Canis lupus familiaris: one gene and its partners. The protein of the gene in region 2 interacts with the protein of the main gene of each other region in a pairwise test. Links are inferred from orthologs where the notes say so. Each region holds a gene or a part of one and is shown on either strand. Other genes may lie near its edges. The genes, in order: ZMYND10, TSC22D4 and NRBP1.

The links.
Region 1: the proteins of TSC22D4 (region 2) and ZMYND10 interact in binary tests that used the Homo sapiens proteins (3 or more experiments, as listed by UniProt). The two-hybrid records come from large-scale screens. The link is inferred for Canis lupus familiaris from reciprocal best matches to the Homo sapiens genes TSC22D4 and ZMYND10.
Region 3: the proteins of TSC22D4 (region 2) and NRBP1 interact in binary tests that used the Homo sapiens proteins (3 or more experiments, as listed by UniProt). The link is inferred for Canis lupus familiaris from reciprocal best matches to the Homo sapiens genes TSC22D4 and NRBP1.

The regions. Positions count from the first base shown.
Region 1 is NC_049241.1:39,414,572-39,421,770, forward strand, and holds the start of ZMYND10 (zinc finger MYND domain-containing protein 10), read left to right. Parts: upstream 1-3,152; 5' UTR 3,153-3,295; coding exon 3,296-3,387; intron 3,388-3,649; coding exon 3,650-3,758; intron 3,759-4,684; coding exon 4,685-4,801; intron 4,802-4,921; coding exon 4,922-4,975; intron 4,976-5,095; coding exon 5,096-5,230; intron 5,231-5,336; coding exon 5,337-5,425; intron 5,426-5,517; coding exon 5,518-5,618; intron 5,619-5,945; coding exon 5,946-6,118; intron 6,119-6,339; coding exon 6,340-6,465; intron 6,466-6,547; coding exon 6,548-6,669; intron 6,670-6,789; coding exon 6,790-6,915; intron 6,916-7,003; coding exon 7,004-7,079; 3' UTR 7,080-7,199. Other genes in the region: GATOR complex protein NPRL2, read left to right, coding at 14-122, 608-744, 831-928, 1,049-1,085, 1,204-1,297, 1,380-1,497, 1,779-1,921, 2,007-2,074. UniProt on the Homo sapiens protein: Plays a role in axonemal structure organization and motility. Involved in axonemal pre-assembly of inner and outer dynein arms (IDA and ODA, respectively) for proper axoneme building for cilia motility.
Region 2 is NC_049227.1:9,139,642-9,146,957, reverse strand, and holds the start of TSC22D4 (TSC22 domain family protein 4), read right to left. Parts: upstream 4,138-7,316; 5' UTR 3,777-4,137; intron 3,336-3,776; 5' UTR 3,057-3,335; coding exon 2,295-3,056; intron 6-2,294; coding exon 1-5.
Region 3 is NC_049238.1:21,439,275-21,446,568, reverse strand, and holds the start of NRBP1 (nuclear receptor-binding protein), read right to left. Parts: upstream 4,440-7,294; 5' UTR 4,207-4,439; coding exon 4,035-4,206; exon of another isoform or gene 3,933-4,034; intron 3,572-3,932; exon of another isoform or gene 3,436-3,571; intron 3,410-3,435; exon of another isoform or gene 3,384-3,409; coding exon of another isoform or gene 3,233-3,383; exon of another isoform or gene 3,175-3,232; intron 1,072-3,174; coding exon 842-1,071; intron 677-841; coding exon 554-676; intron 363-553; coding exon 261-362; intron 1-260. UniProt on the Homo sapiens protein: Required for embryonic development. Plays a role in intestinal epithelial cell fate and proliferation, thereby involved in the architectural development of the intestine potentially via the regulation of Wnt-responsive genes.

The DNA of each region.
Region 1 (7,199 bases), on a different chromosome or scaffold from region 2:
ATGCTCCATCCAGCTAGAGAGCAGCTTCGTGTCAACAGAGGAGAGCAAGCAGAAATTGGTGCCCATCATGACCATCTTGCTGGAGGAGCTAAATGCCTCAGGCCGGTGCACTCTGCCAATCGGTATGACCCAGCCTTTACCAAGGAGAACAGAAGGGTAGAAGAGGGATAGGAACATGGCAAGGGAAGGCAAGCCCAGCCATGGACAAGATTCATGAACAAATTGATGGCTAATAAATAGCCATGAGCTGGGTTGATGATGTCCAGAGTCCAGTGCATGTTGGGATTTGGGATATAGAGGCCAGCAGAGAGCTGTCTATGCTCCTTTGGCATGTTCCTGTTCCTCTCTGGACCTGTCTTTTGCTCCATAAAAAAGGAAGATTGGGGGTGTCTGGCTGGCTCAGTCAGTAGAGCATGTGAGTCTTGATCTTGAGGTTGTGAGTTCAAGCCCCACGTTGGACGCAGAGCTTACTTAAGAAGTGGGGGGTGGGGGAGATCGGCCCTACCCAGGGCCACCCATCTGCTTCAAGGGTTGCTGGGAGGACTGAAGGGTAATTGAGGGCCTCTTGAAAGAGATGACACTGAAGATATGGGTGGGGCCCCTACAGATGAATCCAACACCATCCACTTGAAGGTGATTGAGCAGCGGCCTGACCCTCCTGTGGCGCAGGAGTATGATGTGCCTGTCTTTACCAAGGACAAGGAAGATTTCTTCAACTCACAATGGGACCTCACCACACAACAGGTGAGCTGTCCCTCCCTGGGTATCATCACCTAGGGGTGGCCACAGCTCTGGCCTCATCCCACCTCTACTGATCCTGCCCTGCCCAGATCCTGCCCTACATTGATGGTTTCCGCCATGTCCAGAAGATCTCAGCTGAGGCAGATGTGGAGCTAAACCTGGTGCGCATCGCCATCCAGAACTTGTTGTGAGTAGGGCAACAGCCACACTCAGGACAGAGCTGCTAGCCAGGGAAGAGCCCCAGGACACTGAGTGTGTGGGGTGGGAAGGCATGACCCTCAGAAGCTGAGCACACTATCTCCCCCAGGTATTATGGAGTTGTGACACTGGTGTCCATCCTCCAGGTAGGTGAGTCTAGGCTTTGGTTAAGGGGAGAATGAATCATGTGGCTTGGCCAGACTAGGGCTATGTCAGATTTCCAAGCCCCTCACTCAGGCCCCTGTGCCTCCTGCTACCCTCCAGTATTCCAATGTGTACTGCCCAACACCGAAGGTCCAGGACCTGGTAGATGACAAGTCCCTGCAAGAGGCATGTTTATCCTATGTGACCAAACAAGGTAGTAGTGGGCTCTGGGGGAGGCCATGGCGGGGCGGGGGGCGGGCAGAGCCACCTACAGAGCTGACCCCTGGTACCCATAGGGCACAAGAGGGCCAGCCTTCGGGATGTGTTCCAGCTGTATTGCAGCTTGAGCCCTGGCACTACTGTGAGAGACCTCATTGGCCGCCACCCCCAGCAGCTGCAGCGTGTTGATGAACGGTCAGAAGGGGATTCCCAGGGTCATGAGGGGTTTACCTAAAAGCATATACACTCTGTATGTCTCTGGAGCCTTGGGTTAGAGAGGAAGCAGGAGATTCCCAGTGAGCAGAATCATGTGGCACTACTAGTCTAGGCAGGCTTTCCAAAACCCCAGGCTTTGGGTTTGGAAGGCAGTCTGGTCATTGAGACAAAATCTGAGGGGAGACTGCAGAAAAGGGTTGGCTTGGCTGGAGGAAGGCCCAGCCAGGGCATCACTCTTCTCTCCCTCAACCCCACCCCAGAAAGCTGATCCAGTTTGGGCTTATGAAGAACCTCATCCGCCGACTACAGAAGTATCCCGTGCGGGTGTCTCGGGAGGAGCGGAGCCACCCTGCCCGGCTTTACACAGGCTGCCACAGCTATGATGAGATCTGTTGCAAGACAGGTGGAGGCAGACATTGCAGCTGGGGTGGGGTCAGGGCAGGTGGCCAAGGCAAGACTGCTCATCTCACCTGCACTGTCCCAAACAGGCATGAGCTACCACGAGCTTGATGAACGGCTGGAAAATGACCCCAATATCATCATCTGCTGGAAGTGAGGCTGGTGGGGGCTAAACTAGGCACACGACTGTGGCTGCTTTCGTCCTGCAAAGCGCTGTCTGGTGCATGAGGGCTAGACCCGTAGACTAGTCCGTATTGTCTCAGGGGTGACCCTCAGTTCTGTAAATAAAAGCATCTGTTTCAACCTACCTTTATTGAGTATCGCCTCTGAACCAGCCACCTGAGAACTGGCAGTGAAATAGCGGTGGTCCTGGCCCACTGCTGCGCCATCTGGTGGCAGGACTAACTATGGACAAATGTGTCCACTAATTAGGAACTGAAATAAACAGCCAGAAAGGAACAATCAGGTAGCTGTGATCAAGAATGGGGTGGGGTGGGAGCTGAAGCTGTTCTGGATTAAATAAGCAAGGAAGGCCTCCCTGAGGTGACTTGAACTGAGGCTTGATGGAGGAAGAGTATTCCAGGTTGGGGTAACAGGTGCAAAAGCCCCAAAGCAAAAACAGCTTTAGGATGTATGAGGAACTCCAGAGAGGCCCACAAGGCTGGAACATAAGAGGCAATGGGGAGAGGGGCAAGAAATGAAGTACCGAAGGGGCAAAAGTGATACTGCAGAGATGCTGGTAAGCTGGTTTGGACATACTATTTCAAGAACTGGAGGCAGCCATACAGTCACCCAGAAAAAGATTACAGCAGTTAGTTCCTCACGAGAGGTGGTGGCAGCCTGTTAGACTGGGATGGAAAGACGTGGCCCCTACGCAGTACCTGGGGGGGTAGAGCCAGCAGGCGGAGCCCGGCGCCAGACGTAGTGGAGCGAGAAAGCCACGGAGAGGGGCATCCGCGCGGCGGAGTTGGAGCCGCGACAGGAAGAGCTGGTGGGGGCAGCATGACCCTGTCCCTGAGCTGGTCTTGACGTCGGAGGAGGGAGCTTAGGCCACAGGAGTCTGTCGCTCAGGGCAGACCCTCGAGCCGCAGTCGGAGGTGAGGGAGAAGTTTGGGATCCAAGGGGCTTCCTTACCCGCCGCGGGGAAGGCGAGGCGGCCGGGGCCGGGGGCGGGGCCGGAGCCTGCGCGGGCCGCACTGCGCAGGCGCCGAGCTAACCGTTTCCATGACGGCGAGGACCCACGCGCCCCAACCGCTCCGCAACAGCTGCGTCCACAGCCTGGACCCAGCCGGAGACTTTCGGCTCCCCTGCCCCAGCGCCGGCTGCTGTCCGGGGTCAACTGAATCCCGCCTTCTGGCTCCCTGGCCCTGGCCACAACATGGGCGACCTGGAGCTGCTGCTGCCGGGGGAGGCTGACGTGCTGGTGCGGGGGCTGCGCAGCTTCCCGCTGCGCGAGATGGGCTCCGGAGGGTGAGGCAGCTGGATCCAAGGGTCGGGCGGTGTCACAGAGTCAGAGTCCTTGAATGGAGGAGTATGGGCCTGACACGGGGGAGAGGGTACCCAGTGTGGAGGAATCCCCAAGTGAGGAGACAAAGATCTCTGAGCCCCCTCTGGCCCCTCAGGATCAGGTTAGGCTGATTAGGTTCAGTAATACCCAAATTCAATAGTACCCAAACCCAGGTTAGGCTTCAGTAGCACCCCAAAACACATCCACCCCCTCTCTCTGGGGCAGGTGGAACCAGCAGCATGAGAACCTGGAGAAGCTGAACATGCAGGCTATCCTTGATGCTACAGCCAGCCAGGGTGAGCCCATCCAGGAGCTGCTGGTCACCCATGGGAAGGTATGCTGGGGTCACGGGCAGGGTTCCTGCCCTTCCTACCACCTCTCACCCCACCACTCTACCTCTCAGGAGCACCTCGGATGCCTTCACTTCCCTCTAGATGGTACTCTTGTCTTCCCCAAGAGAAAAGAGAGGAGTGTGTTACAGATTTGATTTTGCATCCCTTTTGGACAGGACACTGGCACACTAGGCCAAGTGTGAGACGTTGGTTGATTTGAGAGATAGTCGTAGATCATACAGCAGCCCAGGCTGTAGGGGGAGAGCCTACGTTCTAAAGACATCCTTGAATAGACTGTCAGGCCAGAGGGGGCCCTCACTGAAGTGGAGGTGGAACTTTGGCATGGAAGAAGGCAGCCTTCATAACTTGAGAGAAGAATTAGAAACCAGGGATGAGCCTACCTGGAAAATGAGCCAGGAGGTGACTCAAATAAATGACCTGAGATATCACTTGACAAAAGGGTTCCTCTGCAAAGAAAAGGTGGAGCCCCCTACTGGAGGGTGGGAGAGGACTAGGAAATTGTGCAGGGCCCTGAGTAAGGGTGAGGTCAAGGCACATGAGAACCTTGGAAGGCAGGAGGACAGGGACAAGGAGGGCATGAACAGGAGAGCCAGCCTGAGAGGAACACCTGGATGAGGACAGAGGGGACAAGGGTGTAGTTGGGGTGGGGAGGTGTAGGGGGCCAAGGCAGCCCAGGGACAAAGCAAGAGCCAGTTATAGGAAGCATGGGGAATGTCCCCACAAAGTTATTGAGAGCAGCTAGAAATGAAGGTCTAAGGTGCAGGAGAGAGCTTGGGAAGGTACCTATGGAGAGAATCTAGGAGCCTAGGGGAGTTTGAGGAGTCAGGCAGGACCAAGCCAGGGATGGGAGGGTGGCAAGGCCAAGGTAGGCCTACTTCATCTCTGTCCTTTCCTCTCCCCCTCAAAGATCCCAACACTGGTGGAGGAGCTGATTGCAGTGGAGATGTGGAAGCAGAAGGTGTTCCCTGTGCTGTGCAAGCTGGAGGACTTCAAGCCCCAGAACACTTTTCCCATATACATGGTGGTAAGCTGGGCCCCTGGTCACACCCTGCTCATGCCTTTAGAGGGCTCTGGATTTGACAAGAGAGCTGGTAATCTGATTCTTCCTTCAGTGGCTCCACGCTCTGTTCTCTTTATCTGACAGGTACACCACGAGGCCTCTATCATCAACCTTCTGGAGACAGTGTTCTTCCATAAAGTGAGGCATCAGCCCTGTCCACAAGCTGTTGCCACAGGCTAAGGCCTGACTGGGAAGAGGGGTTGTGTCTGTGTGGGGAGAGCATCAGAGACAGAATGTTCCCCTCTGCCTGTCCCTCAGGAGGTGTGTGAGTCAGCAGAGGACGCTGTCTTGGACCTGGTAGACTACTGCCACCGAAAACTGACTATGTTGGTGGCCCGAAGTGGCCGTGGCAGCCCTCCCGAGGAGGAGTCTCAGGAGAGCACCCCCATTCAGGTAGGCTGAGGGTCCCTGGAGGTGCCAGTGGGTATAACACGCTCTCTCAAGGCCTGAGCAGGCAGGGGGTGGCCCAGCTAGAGCACCATGTGCCCCTGCCACCCAGGAGCTGCAGAAGCAAGCAGAGCTGATGGAGTTTGAGATCGCATTGAAGGCCCTCTCAGTGCTGCGCTACATCACAGACTGTGTGGACAGGTGGGCAGTCCTGCAAGGCCCAAGACCTGCAGTGGAGGACTGGGATCCTGGGCCTGTAGCCGCCGCTCACTTCTCTCCACCACCACCCCTAGCCTTTCCTTGAGCACCTTGAACTGCATGCTCAGTACCCACAACTTGCCCTGCCTCCTGGTGGAACTGCTGGAACACAGTCCCTGGAGCCGACAGGAAGGTGGTAAGGTCTTCCCCACCCCCTTGCCTAAGCCCCAGCTCATGGCTTCCCAGACATACCCCAGGATTGATGGGGACAGGCAGCTTGCTCACAAACTGCCCGCTAGCTCATAGAGGAGCCCAGAATGCCTCACACAAACTAGCTTAGACCTGGGCTTTGCAGCAGGTAAGGCCTGTGTGTCCACTGCTAAAGACTCACCCCGCTCTGGAGCAAGCAGACACCAGCCTTGGTGAGTCGTGCACCCGGGCAGCACTCAGGACCCCAGCCCATTCAGTTGGCTGACTCAGAGTGTGTAACACCTGCTCCTAGTGTTCTGGCTCCTCTCTCCAGGCAAGATGCAGCAATTTGAGGGTGGCCGTTGGCAGACAGTGGCCCCCACAGAGCACCCAAAATTGAGCAAGTTGGATGGGCAGGTGTGGATCGCCCTATACAACCTGCTGCTAAGCCCCGAAGCCCGGACCCGCTACTGCGTCACCAGCTTTGCCAAGGGACAGCTACTCAAGGTGGGGGAGCTCCTCCTGCACCAGTGCCACCCCATCCCACCCTGCCCTGCCCCACCCCTGCTGCTTATCACTGCCCACCTGCCTCAGCCCCAGTCCTCTTTCCAGACCCTGAAGCTCAGGTGTCGCAGCAGCTAGTGGGACGTGGTCCCCACAGGCACCCCAGCCCAGGCCCTCCCTGGTCAGCACCACTTCACACTGGCCTTCCCTGGACTCCCTTGCAGCTTCGGGCCTTCCTCACAGACACACTGCTCGACCAGCTGCCCAACCTGGCAGACCTGCAGGGTTTCCTGGCCCACCTGGCCCTGACGGAAACCCAGCCCCCAAAGAAGGACTTGGTGTTGGAACAGGTAGGTACCAGGAAGTCAGCTGCTCAGGACTACTGCCCACCTTGCCAGCTCCTCCCTGACACTTTCCACTTTTCTCTCTCAGATCCCAGAAATCTGGGAGCGGCTAGAAAGAGAGAACAGAGGCAAGTGGCAGGCTATTGCCAAGCACCAGCTGAGGCACATATTCAGCCCTTCAGAGCAGGACCTGCGACTACAGGCACGAAGGTGAGGCCCACTGAGTGGGCAGAAGGGATAGGAGGGATGCAGAAGGCATGGACACAGGCAGAGGTGCTCTTGTGCCCCCACTGGCCAGGCACAGCCAGCCTTTCCTGACCTCTTTCTTAGATGGGCTGAGACCTACAGCCTGGACGTCCTAGAGGCAGTAACCCCAGAGCGGCCCCGCTGTGCCTACTGCAGTGCAGATGCCTCCAAACGGTGCTCACGGTGCCAGAATGAATGGTATTGCTGCAGGTGAGGGTATCCTAGGAACTTGGACCCCTAAGCCCCACTTCTATACCCCGCACAAGCACTGCATGCTTACCAGCCCACCTGCCTGCAGGGAGTGCCAAGTCAAGCATTGGAAGAAGCATGGAAAGGCTTGTGTCCTGGCAGCCCAAGGTAACAGAGCCAAGTGAAAGCTGCAGCTGCTGAGGGCCAAGCACCCATGCCCTACAACCCACCCCCAGTGTGCCCTTGAACCTCTCGAAACCTCAGCCAGGGCTCCAGCCTCCCAGGTGGTGAGCAGAGCGAGCGCC
Region 2 (7,316 bases):
GGCACCTGGAGGCAGAGAGGTAGGAACCATCACATCCAGTGCAAGAAAAGAACCAGCCACCTTGCAACCTGCCTAGTAGTCAGCCTCCTCATCTCTCCCCATGTATCTCTGCTCTCTTCGAGGACCCAGGGGTCCTGCCCCCAGGGCCCTTTCTTCCCTGGGTCTAGTGGAGGCAACTAGGCAGGTATCAGAGTAAAGGAAACAATGTCCATCCTGAGGACTGGGTGAGCAGCTTCCAGAAAGTGGTTCGTGGTGTATCAGAGTACCAGAAAGGGGCTCTGGTCTGTACTCTAGCACTCTTCTACCAGCTGAACCAGGACCCCCAATCAGAGGCTAGGCAGAAAGTGTCTGCCTTCTGTCACCTGACTTTTTAAAAGCCACTTGAATATCACTTCCTCAGAGAGGCATTTCCCCATCATTCGACTAGTGAATTCCACTGAACTGTTCTATTTTATTTTTAGAGCACTGAATAGTATCTGAAATTAAAGTATTTTTGCCTCCCTGCTGTTAGAAGGTAAGCTCCAGAGGGCAGAGCTTATAGTTTGTTCAATAGCTATTTGTAGAATGAATGAATCCTCAGAAGCCGGTCCTCCTCCCACCCCACTCTATCCATTCTAGCCTCTTCTCTCAAACTTCTCAGATTCAGGTGAAGTTCTGCTCCTGCGCTGGGCCCTGGGGCAGGGAGGGTGGTTGGATTGCGGAGATGGGGGGAGGCGGAGCCCGGGCACAGACCCACACAGCCCAACAGGCACTGGGGGTGGCTGCAAAAGGGCGGGGGCCACAGGAACAAGCCGCCTCTGTGAGGCCCCAGGAGGCCCCTGCTTCTCGGAAAAGCCAAGAACAGAGAGTCCAGAGCGGTTAGAGGGCCGGAGCAGAGGAAGGGGGCCCAGGTGGTGTCCCCCCAGCCTTCCTCTCAGCCTCACTCTTGAGAGGGAAGAGGCATGGGGGAGTGTGGAACGGAGCCAGACTTCGGGGCCAGGAAAAAGCAGCACAGATGCATGCACACAGGGAGGGATCGGGATGTGGGGGAAAGGAAAGGGTTCTGAGGGCACTGAGGACAGAGGGGCAGGGTCTGCAGGCCCAAGGGAAGCTCAGACAGGGCTTAAGGACACAGAGAGACTGGAGCAAAGGGGGCTTGCTCTGGAAGAGCAAGAGAACAGGGACTAGAAAAGGAAAGAGCATCTTCTCCCCTGGGGTAGGAATTTAATGAAAGCTCCAGAAAAGTAGGGGGCGCAGCATGAGATATGTGAGTTTGAGGCCAGGAGGGGGTGGGGGTAGCCGGTCCTGACCGGTCCTGACAGGGCCCAGACATCCAGTCCCAGGTTATTTTTATACTGTGGTTTGTGCCCAAGGCCAGGAAGGGGGAAAAGTTCTCATCCTCACACTCCCTGCCCTCGCTCCTGAAGTCCAAGGTGTTATTTTCTCCTTCAGGACAGACACATCCATCCCCCACATCCCTGGCGGCCCACCCTCACCCCAGGGACCCAGGCATCCTGCCCCCCAGCCCAGACTTGTTCCTCTTTTGGAGACAGGAAGCAGAAAGACCAGAGGATTTAACTCTTTCTCCACTGCTTCCTGCCTCTCTCCCACTCCCTGGTGGCCACCCCCAGTTATCAATCATGGAGAGGCCTAGATGCAGGGGAGCGGAGACAGGGGCCTGAGGGCAGAAAGGACACACCGCCAAGCCCTCCATCCCACCTAGTTCATCACGTCCTTGGAGAAATTTGACTTGGGACAAAGCTGCAGATGGGGCTGGGATGAGTGGCTAATAAGAAGACAGACCGTCACCTTTGGAATGGTGCGTGGTGCGGCCAGGGAGACTTTCTTTTTACCCCTCCCCACCAACCTGGACAGCTCCTCTCCCAGAGGCCCAAGCACCTACCCCCATCTGGGACCTCCATCCCCCATGCCTGAAGCCAGAAGGGGTGAAACCAAGACAGAAGGTGAGGGCCAAAGTGTGAAGCCGACATCTCTGTGATGGCGAGACAGCACTAAGCTATAAGGAAACAGAGATGGAGGCCAAAGGTAACAAAGGCTTAGAGAAAGAAAGAAGGTGCAGGATATAGGGGAAGAGGGAGCCTGAGAAAGAAAACAAGGCTGCATGAAGAGGAGGATGGACTACTTCCCAGGAAGAGGGCAAGAAGAGAAAAGAGGGACAGACACGTGTTGTTGGAATGGGGAGAGGGTGGTAAGGAGGTGGAGGCAGGGAGGCCCAAGCTGGAGGTTAGGCCCAGGCCCAGATGAACAAGCACCACCCCTCAGGTGTCTCCCTGACCCCAGAACCCAGCTCTTACCTGCCCCATCTCCTCTGGAGCAACCAACTCCATCCTCAGCCGCAGGGCTCCATCCTTTGATCGGGATAGTGGAGGGGTCCCTGTTGCTGAGCCCCCAGCCTCCACTTCCACCCTCAGGGAGGGCAGGGGCGTGGCAGCCCGGGAGGGGCCGGCGCTATCCCCTGTCCTGGGCTCTGGGGGACGCTGCTGGGGTGGGGAGGCTGACAGAGGGGGTGTCTCCACCTTGGCTTTACCAGGTACTGCCAGCTGGCCCAGCCCCCGGGTTAAGGAGCGGGCCTGAGGTCCAGGGGAGGTAGGGGGCGGCCGGAGCCAGGAGGTGGGGCCCTGAGACAGGCCTGGCTGCGGGGTTGGGGCACCCAGGCCCAAGCTGGCCAGCTCCAACCTGGAATCCAAAGATCGGCCCCCAGTGCCCCCCGAGGCCCCTCGAACTCCTTCCAGGAGCCGGCTGAAGCCAGGGGTCTCCAGGTCTCTCTCGTAAACATCCACACACGTCCAACGGCCTCGACGATAAGGCTCTCCCAGGCCATGGGGCAGCTTTACCACCCGGAAACGGGAGGCGGGGGCCCCAGGTGGTGGGGAGCCGTTCCGGGGGGTGCTTTTGCCCCCTGGCTCGGGGCTGGGCTCCCCGTTAGGCAGACGGGGTGGGGGCGCGGTGGGGCCCGGCAGGGCAGGGGGCTCTGAAGACCCTGGGCTCCCTGGGCCCTCATAGTCCGTGGTGACGCTGGTGATTTGAAAACTACTCTTCTTCTTGCCCCCACTCATGGTCCCTGGGGCTCAGGACTCGGCCAAGGTGGGCAGGGGGTGCAGCTGGGGCTCCTCCAGGGGCTCAGGCACCCCTGGAACAGGGGGGCCACATGGCGGGGGCATCAGGGCCCCTGGGGACATCTGGGTCCGACATGGCAGGAGGGCTTTGCAGGAACTGGGGGTACTTGGCTGGTAAAGGGAGCACAGGGCAGGGGAGGTGGCAGGAGGTGGGGGCAGGGGCAGGGGCAGGTTTTTCCTGCCCCTGGCGCTGCCCAACTCCAGAGCTGAGTTTGCAAACTGGAAAGAGAGAGAGAGAGAGAGAGAGTGTGTGTGTGTGTGTGTGTGTGTGAGAAAGCAGTGGGCAGGCCACCTCTGGGGCTTCCTCTCTGGGGAGCAGGATGGGGGAGGAAGGGGAAACCACCAGAGACCCAGAGACAAAGAGACTGGCAGAGACGATTGAGACCAGGAGATCCCAGCGGTCCCACAGAGTAGGAAGGGGCGGCCCAGACCAAAGTTGGGCATTTCTTGCCTGGGATTCAGACTCACAGGACCGAGTCGCCCGACAGCAGGAGGGGGCTCCAGGGCCTTGGACGAGCAGGGGTGAAGCAGCTCCTCGGTCGGCCCCGCCGCCGGGAGGCCTCTGCCGAGTGTCCAGGCTGCCCGCACCCCAGCTCCCCGATCCCGGGCAGGCCCTGCCCCGCTGCCCCAGCGCCCCGCCCAGCCAGCCCAGAGCCCTACCTCTCGGCCTCGGCCACCGAGCTGGGCCGGGGGTCCCGGAGCCTACGATGTCGGGCTGTCCTTCCCGCGGGGGGCGCGGCGGCGATCAGGGGCTGTCCGCTTCTCTTCGGGGGCCGCACTTCGCCCCGCAAGGCATCTTCGTAAAAAGTTTGCTCGCCAGAAAAGAAGGGACCCCCGCCTCCTTGGTGGAGCCCAGGCGCGGCCTCCGAAGCCCCAAGGGTCCCGGGACTGGTGAGGGAAGAGGCGGCTCTGCCCCCACCCCGATCCTCCAGGTGGAGCCGCCTAGGTGGCTGGGGCGAGCAGGTCTCTCAAATCTCCTCCGCGTGGAACCGCTGGGTCTCTCTCCGCTCCTCGGCTCTTCTCTCCGGTCTCTCTGCCTTTCTCTTTCTGGGCTGTTGACAACCCCCACACCAGGAAGTCCTGCCTCCTCGGGCCTGCTGACTGCTCCTCTCCTCCTCCTCCTTCCCCTCTTCCTCCCCTTCCTCCGCCCTCTCTGCCTCCTGGGGCTCCCGGCCAGCTGGCCCGGGGCCAGGCCTGCCACCACCTCTGCTGCCACTGCTGCTGCTGTTCCTGCCCCCCCCCCCCGCCCCCCCCGCAACAGGCTTAACCCCACACCTGCTGGGCCCCAATCCTGCGTTTCCTCGGAGGGAGGGGCCGTGGAGGGCAGAGAGAAAAGGGGAGGAGTTTGCCGGGGGGCCAGGGATTCCCTTACTTGTAGGCACTTGCTGCCATTGGCCTACGGAGAGAGCAAGAACTTGCCAACCAGGGGCTCTGCTGGGTGCCCGCCACCCCATAAGCTGCTGCTCAGCTCTTGCCATATCTTCACTGGTGTTCACAGTAACTCTATGAGGAAGGTTCCGTTATTCTTTCCTGTCTTTATTTTAAAACGTGGATTATGATGACAATTTGCAAATGGGCCCCCAAGTAGAGAAAAATGATAAACTCCCAAGTCCCCATCGTGCAGTTTCAACAATGATCAGCTCACAACCAACCTGGGTTCTTCTATACTCCCAATACCTCTTGTTGTGCTGTGCTGGAGTATTTTTAAAAATCCCAGGCACCATATTATCCCTCTTCTTAGATGTGGATATTGAGACCCGGAAGGTTCCGAGAGGCTGTCAGTGGTACAGCTGGAACATTCTACACACTCAGGTGTGCCCTTGTCTGGCCCCTATATAAAGAAACAAAGAGATGTACTCAGAAATGTGCTGACTTGCACTTTCTCTCCAACCCTGGTCACACACACATGTATACATAATGTACACACAGATGCACCTGAGGACAAGCCCTACCCGCCCACCTCTCCCATCCCATCCCTTCTTTGCTATTGGAGAAGCCACACACACACACACACACACACACACACACGAAGGCCTTACCGAATTACCCAATGCCTGGAATGAAAAAATAACCCTCTGATGGCCACTTTCTCTTTTATGGCACCCTCAACCAACAATCTGAGCAAGAGCAGGGTTGAAAAGCCACATCTGCCTTCACTCCTAGCTTTGGAAGGAATTGGATTCTAATTAATTTTGGTCAGATGGAAGTATTCTTGAGCATATTGAAAATTTCTCATATTTGCCTGCTTTATATAGTTATTTCATGGACTATAAACAGTCGGGGGCAGAGATGGGGTAGGTTTTGAGCTTCAGCGTTTCCGCGGGAGGAAACAGAGGCTCCCAGGTAGTCAGTTATTTGCCCGAGGCCCCAGAGCTAGTATTTGATGGCATTGAGACTAGGACTGGGCTGACACATCCCTCCCTCTTCAGCTTTCGCTCATGGAAATTTTTAACCATTCTTCAGGGTTAGGGAAAAACAAAATGATGCCTCCTGCCTGGATGTTTATATATTTATTCTGCATTTCTTTGTTAAAATGCATCTGCACTCCTTGCCTCTCTCCCTTCACAGTAACACAGCTGGGTCCTAAGGCCTCCCAAGTCCTGAGGTCGAGGAGGCAGCCTCCCACACAAGTCCCCCACCACCACCCCCAACTCGTTCCCCTCTGGCAATATTCAGAACACCGCCAGGCTGCTCCGCCCCCAGATCCTCCTTTCGGCGCTGACACGCTACAAACTATTCAAAATTTATCTTTGGACCCTCCCCTTCCCACCAACTCTGAGCATCAAGTTGGACTCCTCCGTGTCTGCCTGCCTGGGACATTGCTGGTCTCTGTAGAAATGTTTATTGAATGAATAAATAAAAATTCATTCACACTAAGGTGCAAATGTGAAAGGACTGTTTTGTATTTTGTGTTCCATCTCCTGGGAGCAATAATCGCCCTTTAATGTATTTTACGGCTTACAAAGCTCCCCGTATTAATTCTTTTGCGCCCTCAACAACGTTATGGAGGTAGATACGAGGCATCTCTCAGAGAGGTGGTGTGATTTGCCCAAAGCCACACAGCACACCTGCAACGATTTGCCATATAAAGTAACGGGCACAGGTTCCGGGGATTAGAGGTGGCTATCTTTTGGGGGTCCATTTTTCAGCTACTTAAGCGTAGAACCCAGGTCTTCTTGCAGCTAATGTGTGGCAAAGGGATTTCCGAGGGAGGATTTCTCAGGGCTAAAGAGAAAGGTGATGCGGCGTTGAGGAGGGGGCGCGAGGTCGCGACCCTGAGCGGCCGCCTCGACCGCACCGGGGCGGTTGCCGCTGTGGCCGGTCCGAGGCCGACCGCCGGGGGCACCCAGGACCTGGCGGGAGGCGCCATGGGGTCAGAGGTTACTGGGAGGATGACTTGAGCCGCTCGGGCGGACTGGCGGGAGCCTTTGAGCCCAGGCGGTGGAAAGAGGTCCGGGCGCCCGGGAAGCTCCAGGCACAGGCGACCGGCAGCAGGAGAGCCAGCTGCAATGCCCTCCCAGCACCTGCAGGGCGGCAGGAAGAGGGGCGCAGCCAAGGGAGCACGCCCCCTGCTGGGCAGAAACGCGGATGGTCGGGCTCACGACTCTCCGAGCCCCTCGGCCCGGAAAGCGGCACCCCCTGCCGGCCTCGTCGCCTCACTGCACCCCGGGCCCCGCAGCCGCAGCCTCGCCCCGGCCCGACGCGGGGTGCGCACCCGGGAAGCGCGGGGCGCGCACGGGGTACGCACGGGGGTGCAGGTCCCGGGCTGCCACCGGGGGGCGCCGCTACGCGCTGCGCCCTGCTTCGCTCCGCCGGGGCCTCGGACACCGAACCGAACACGGCCCGGCCGGATAGAGGCCGAGGGGCGACGAGGAGCGGACGCCTCAAAGCGGGGGCGGGCCGGCGCCAGGTCCCCCGCGCCCCGCGACCTTTCTCCGAGTCCCCCCGCGAGCTCCGCGGGCTCTGCGTCCCCCGCGCCTCCCACCCCAGCCTGGCGGCGCAGCGCGGCGCGGCCGCTCCCATTCCGTCCTTGGAGGGTGTGGAAGGGTGGGTTTGGGGCCGGGGGCGGGTCTGGGGGCGGACCCGGAGGCGGGGCTGTCTCTGCGGCAGGGCCCAGCTCGGCTCCCCCCGGTCTCTCTCTGTCTCTCCTCCTCCCTCCTCCTGCTCCGGGCGGAGCCCGGCATGGGGGGGCCGGCGCCC
Region 3 (7,294 bases), on a different chromosome or scaffold from region 2:
ACAGAAAAAAAAAAAAAAAAGAAAGAAAAAACCCTACTGAACAATAAGAGCTATGGAAAGGAAACAAAAGTTTGCTCATTTCTGCCCCGTCCATAACCAAACAAAAGGCATCATAGATCATAGTAGGCAAAGCCCTACTCTCACCTCCACAATAGCTGATTCCAGTTTTGTTTCAAAACTATCTATTTTCATCTCTGAATGTAAAAAGAACAATAAATGTAGCTAGTCTCTTTGCAGTAAGTTCAAGAAAAAGTTCTTACCCTGGCCTTGTTCTCTTTAATGTCAGCCCAATACTTATGAAACTTAACAATGTTGAGATGTTCCAACTGAATCAGATTATCAAACACAGCACGGACTTTTTCCTGAGGGCAGGAGAGAGAGTGGGATAACAAGGTTCAGAAATTACTGTAATCCTGAAAAGCCATTCCCTATCCCTCCCCAGAAATAATCTAACCCCAACATCCTCTCCTCCTAATCAGCTTCTCAACACCAATTTCTCTTTAACGCCTGCATTCTAATACCCTACGGGCTACATTCTTTCACCATTACCTACCTCCTGCAGCTTGTAGTTCTTGCGCTCAGAGAACTGGACCTCATTCCACACAACCTCTACACCCTCCTCTGTATCCATGGCCAGGTATGCACTGTCAATACCTGGTACATTCCGTTGATTCACCTGAGAAGAAATCCAAATGGAAAGGAATTACTAAAGTTATCGTATAAACCATTTTAATACTCCAAATGATCATCCTCTCCTAGGCTCTGATCTGTTAAAGTTTGGTGTGACCCTTTGAGACTTTCCCTTTCCACTCCCCCCAGAGTGACACTACCATCACTTTACCTCCTCCCGCCTCTTCTGCCAGCGTCCACATGGTGACTCTTCCAAGATCTCAGACTCATCTTCACTTTCTTCTTCTTCCTCTGGGGAAGCAGCTGAGGTGGTGGAGGTCACAGGAGGTGACACTGATGTCAGGCCAGGAGCTGAGGATGAGGATTCTACCTTTGGGTCTGAGCCACTGCTGACTACTGTCTGGGACTCCCCCTCCGACATGCTGGAACGAACACTCAGGCCTGTATTGGTTGGGGCAAGGATGAAGGAAGAAGGCAGAAAGGGTCAGGATAGATCTATAAAGATTTAATCCTGGGGCACTTGGGTGGCTCAGTTAAGCATCCAACTCTTGATCTCAGCTCAGGTCTTGATCTCAGGGTCATGAGTTCAAGCCCCATGTTGGGCTCCATGCTTAATCCTAATAACCTCATCTGGGGTTAAAAAACAAAACAAAACATCGGTCTCCCTTGTTTCCTTTAAGTCCAAAATCAAATTAATTCTGTCTGAACATTGAAACATTAACTACTTCTTAGTCTAGAGAAGTGAAGCTATCGTGGTTGAAGATGACCCATGAGGAGTGGCAAACCTAAGATTTATGACAATATAACTCCCATTTTTCAGGTTCAAATGAACAGCCAAATCAGGGACAGACACCATTCCTTCTCAGCAATACTCACCCAACAATCTTCCTTTAAAACTTCACCTGCCTTTATGTGTTCAAGAACTAAGCTACATGGCCCTATTCAGATGACTCTAGACCCCAAAATCTTTCACTGATTCAGCCCTAAGTCTGGACCTGTAGCACTCTCAGCCAATTTATCCAGATGAAACCCTCAAGCTAATTTATTCCACTAGAATTCTGGCATTTGCTATCCATCCCTCCTACACATAGATCAAGTCTACTAGTCCATGCTGAGGATACCCTTGGGCCAGGTAACTGGCAGTGGTTAGTGACTTCATCCCTGATGCCCTCACCTCCCCTGTGATGTGAGTGTGCAAATGGGTATTGGTTAGCAACATTTTTTTTTCATTCACTCATTCAACAAATATTTATTAAGCACTTACTGTAGGCCAAGCACTGGGCTAGGTACCAGAGATAAAATAGTGAATAAAATAAATGAGATGCCCACATTTATGGAACCACAAATTTAAACAAATCTAGAACTTTCAGCTTCCAGCTTTCATTTCATCCAAACAGCTCAAAGGCTCCACCCTCGGGGATACCAGATCTGACAGAGATATTCCCTCATAAACAAATAACTCAAGGAGTGCCGGGTTGGCTCAGTCTGTTAAGCATCTTCCTTCAGCTCAGGACATGATCTTGGGATTGAGCCCCGAGTCTGGCTCCCACTTCCCCTGCTCAAGCTCACTCTCTCTCAAATAAATGAGTAAAATCTTTAAAACAAAAAAATTTTTAAAAAGAACAAATAACTCAAAATACAGCAGTTACAAGAAAAAATACTATATAGTACAATATTTTTTTAAGGCACATGGCTATTTGGAAGAAAAAGAATTCTCACAAGCTAAATGTCGCTAACTTATCCAGACAGTTGCAGGACAACCACTGAATGTTATTCCATCTCTCTAAGAACAAAGGCTATGACGGAGCTGAAACCTGTGTGTGCTGGGCTCAAAGGAGTGCTCCATATGAAAGTGACATTCTGGAAAGTAGACTTCCTCCTCTAAATTCAGAATACAGAAGCCTCTGATCAACAACAATCTTTCAAAAAGCTCTTATTTTAGAACTCCTGGATACTCCCTTCTGCCAATCTCCACCCCCAATTTACACTATGTTTAACCCAAATCAGATTCTTATTAAGATGACATTCTAGTAAATACCAGATAACCATAAAGCACTACAGAGAAAATCTGGCAAGATATTCTTTGCCTGTTATTATCTAGGTCCTGCCTATCATAGACTTTATTCAACCAGACAAGAAAGCTGTCTTAGTAATGTACCAGAACACCAGTTAGAGATCACTTTCCTTTTTCTTCCCCCCTGAAAAGCAACTAAGAAAATGGTAAGAAAGTTCATAGGGATTACTTTCTAGAGCAGCTATATTTATAGAATGCATCTTGAATCTGAACAGCTCAGTAAAAATTCCAGCTAGATGACAATAGGAAATACCACTGGAGCTCCAATACAGGAAGCCTGTAGCCAATGGATTCTAAGGAAACCTCTTGACCCAGGTCACAGACAATCCACAGTAAAGCACCACAAAAGAAGCCAAACCTTTACCAGTCACAGCCGTGTCCTTGTTTTCTCCCTCCCCAATCTTTCCCCAGCAGGCAAAACCAAGGCACTGCCCAAGATGCCCTAGCACTTCCCCTCCCGATGAAGAAACCTTTGCAACGCTGGGGTTTTCTTCTCAGGGTCGTTCAGAGGTTTAAGAGATCACATACGGAAAAGGCCATTCACGCCCCTACAAGGGAATCTCCTCGCCGCTTCCAGCCACCCCGAGAATACTGTGTTCACTTCTGAGCAGTGTAGGTAGATCGTCGCGCAAAGTTTTTCTCGGAGACTTTCATTTACTGGACTGCAGCCCCTCTGCATTTCAACTCCTCAGCAACAGCTCGCAGGCCACAGGCCTCTGGGCTGCCCTCACCCCGAGCCGACCACAGGGCCTCCGGGACCCACAGGGTTGTGTGGTCAGACGTCAAAGCAAGCGCAGGGAACGGCCTCACGCTCCAACAGGTCCCCTGCCCGCCGTCTGCTTGCGAGCGCCGCGGGTCCCGCAGGCCCGGGAGCCAGCCGCCGCCACCTCATCAAAGGCCAGCCCCGCGGCGCCGTCAGGGGCGCAGGCCACGCCCCCGCGCTGTCGGCGCGCCGGCCTCCGCCAGCAGGCGCGGCCCCGACGCTGCGCTTCCGCAGGCCGCGGGGCCCGCCACCGCCGCCCCCGCCCCCGCGGCCGGCCCCGCCTCTCGTCAGCCCCAGTTCGACACGAACGCCAGGGCCTCGCGCCCCGCGCCCCGCGCCGGCAGAATTCCGGGTGGCCGCCACTCAGGGCAGGCCGGGAGGGCCCGGCCGAGACTGTGGGGCCGGGGCGGCCCCTGGGCTCCGGCGGGCCGGGCCTCGGGCCGCCGAGCGAGCAGAGCAGCCTCCAGACACCCGCCTGCCGGGGTCCCGGCGCGTCGGGCCGCGGAAGCCGACCCTTCTGTCCGGTCGCCGAACCCGTCCCTCCCGCTCCCTCCCCTCGGCGCTCACCTCCCGACTCCGCTCCCCGCAGCCTGCGCTTCAGCTCCAGCTCGGGTTCGGGGCCGCGGACCAGAGAGACTCCCTCACAGCTGCGCTCCGCAGCGCAACCGAACTGCGGGCCCCGCCCTCGCGGCGTCCCGACCAACAGATGGGCGGTGCCGCACTGCCGTTGGGTTGCCATTGGATGGGGCGGCCAAGGTGGGCGGTGCCCCGGGAAGACGGCCGCTCGCTGCCATAGTCTCCAAGCCGGTCTCCTCCCCTTGAGCCTGTCCGGTTGAGACCTCTCGGAGGCATCGGTGTGTTGGGTCTCGGCTGGGGTTGGTCTCACTGTCCACCCCTCCGTCCAGTCCAGGTGCCCCCGATGAGTCCGCCGGGCGAAAGGAAGGCCTTCCGTCTCCTCTTGAAGGCGCCATGACAGTTCTGTTCCGACTAAAAGACAAAAGGAGCGAAAGACGTAGCCTCACACCGGGAGGAGCGCCCACCCACTTTCATTATTTGTAAGGGGCGAGACTGCGCAGGACACCAGTTCTTCAGCTTAAAATTTTTCCTGAACGTATCCTGAAAATTGCATAGCACCGACCTTTGCCAAAACTTTGCAGGAGGTTTTCACAGATGACTCGTTTGATCCGTATAAGAAATTGAAAGGCTAACTGACACATGCAAAAAACGAAATCAGAGGCATTAAGGCTATTCACCAAAAGTTGATAGGAGCCAAATCTAGCATCCAAACAGTAAGATTTATCAAAGGCTTCCTTGAAAAGATGTTTGGAAAGAATTTGGATTGACTTCAAGGAAGTGAAAGGGAAAGATCCGGGGTGAGCCCATTGGTCTGCGAAAACTAAACGCTGAGCCTGAGCGGTAGAAATTCGCTCTGCCATTAGACGTGTATTTTGAAGGGAGGAGGATGAATCGGTTTTCAGAACTTGGCAATGCGATAATCACTAAATTTCACTGTCCTTAAAGGGTATCTCTTAATCCTCTTAACTAATGTAAAGAAGAATATATGGCAAAAGCCCTCTCGTTTTCTTATCTCTTCATCTCAAAATACTTTTGCAACCAATCTTTCATCCTTGATTCTTTTACGTTTCAGAGGGCTCACACATTCTTTTAGAAATCTGATGAAAGTTATGGATCTTGTTTTGGATATTTAGGAAATGAATTTGTCCCCTAAATTTAGCATATAATTTCAAAAGACTGAAGTTAAAAATCTTTTTGTTCTAATCTTCAAAGGAAGGTTGTTTCTCCCTTTCTCCAGGTTAACCCTTTCTCCTTGTGGGCTCCAAGGCAATTGGGGCACCTGCTCCCCTATAAACATTCATTAAATATCAGTTAATATTATTATAGTTTCCCATTCTCTTCTGTTTGGACCTTATCATTATTAACCTTTCCTTTTTAACTAACTCCTTCTTTCAAATATGCATAGAGGACCCATTGGCGTCCTCCAGCTCTCATTTTATTTCTAACTTTTCATGTTTAAACAGCTCAAACACTGCATTTTCGCCACCTCATTTTATTCTGCTTTAATAAAATTTATTGTAAACAATATTTCAAAAATATTTATGTAATATCTTCTATGTGCTATGGTCCACTGTTTCAATTGCCTTATGACATATTAACTCATTTAATCCTTACAGGAATCCTATGGAATATTGTGAATTAACAATTGCTATAGAATGTGAAAATCTCTTGTAATCCTATTTCAACAGAAGAATTAAGATTTTGATGTATGTATCCATTTTTCTGTGCATGTATTAATATATGTGCATATAATTTAAAATGAAAGCAAGCTGATAATACATAATCTTTTTCAAATTACTCCTTGTTTTTCTTTTTTTTTTAAGATTTTATTTATTCATGAGAGACACAGGCAGAGGGAGAAGCAGGTGCCATGCAGGAAGCAGGAAGCCCGATGCGGGACTCCAGGATCACGCCCTGGGCTGAGGGCAGGCGCTAAACCACTGAGCCACCCACGGATCCCCTCATATAGCACTATTTTAATCTTTTAGCCACTGTGAAGTATTCCATTGTCCAGCGTTTACTTACTAACTACCAGGGGGCATCAGGGTTATTTCCAACATTTATTATTATAAGTAAAGCTGAAGTAAAGTCTTGCACATATCTTTGCCTGCTTGTGAAAATTATTTTTATATGGTTATATAAGTAGAATTGCTAAGTCAGGAGCTAAGAACATTTTAACTTGAATGGATATTGCCAAGTTACTCTTCAAAAAGATATCAGGGATCCCTGGGTGGCACAGTGGTTTTGCGCCTGCCTTTGGCCCAGGGCGCGATCCTGGAGACCCGGGATCGAATCCCACATCAGGCTCCCGGTGCATGGAGCCTGCTTCTCCCTCTGCCTGTGTCTCTGCCTCTCTCTCTCTCTGTGACTATCATAAATAAATAAAAATTAAAAAAAAAAGATATCAAATAACAATATCAAGAGTATGTAAAGGGGACACCTGGCCGGCTCAGTGGTTGAGCATCTGCCTTGGACTCAGGGCATGGTCTGGGGGCCCCTGGACCAAGTCCCACATCGGGCTCCCCTCAGGGAGTCTGCTTCTCCCTCTGCCTATGTTTCTGCTTCTCTCTGTTCTCTCAAGAGTAAATAAAACTTAAAAAAAAAAAAAAAGTATGTTAGGGTTTAGAGGCACTTGAGTGGCTTAATCAGTTAAGCATCCAACTCTTGGGATCCCTGGGTGGTACAGCGGTTTAGCGCCTGCCTTTGGCCCCGGGCGCCATCCTGGAGGCCGGGGATCGAGTCCCACGTCGGGCTCCCTGCATGGAGCTTGCTTCTCCCTCTGCCTGTGTCTCTGCCTCTCTCTCTCTCTCTCTCTGTGACTATCATAAAAAATTAAAAAGAAAATAAAAAGCATCCAACTCTTGATTTCAACTCAGGACATGATCTCAGGGTCGTGGGATTGAGCTCCGTATCAGGATCCTTGCTGAGCACAGTATGTGCTTGAGATTCTCTTTCCTTCTCCCTTCTGCCCTCACCATGCACCCACATATGCTCTCTCTCTCTCTAATAAACCTTTCTTTTAAGAAAGCAATTTTAGGTTTACATCAAAATTGAGAAGGTTCAGAGATTTCCCATTTATTACTTCACCCCATGTGAAGTGTAATTGAAGGTGCTGTTTGTAGACACATAACACCCAATGAAAGCCCAGCCATCATGACAAACCCTTGAGTGTTGTCTTGAGAAAATGATGCTGGTCATCACAGCTTCAGCATCTCCTGGTTTTTGATGTTAGGCTCCCCCAGCTGATCTCA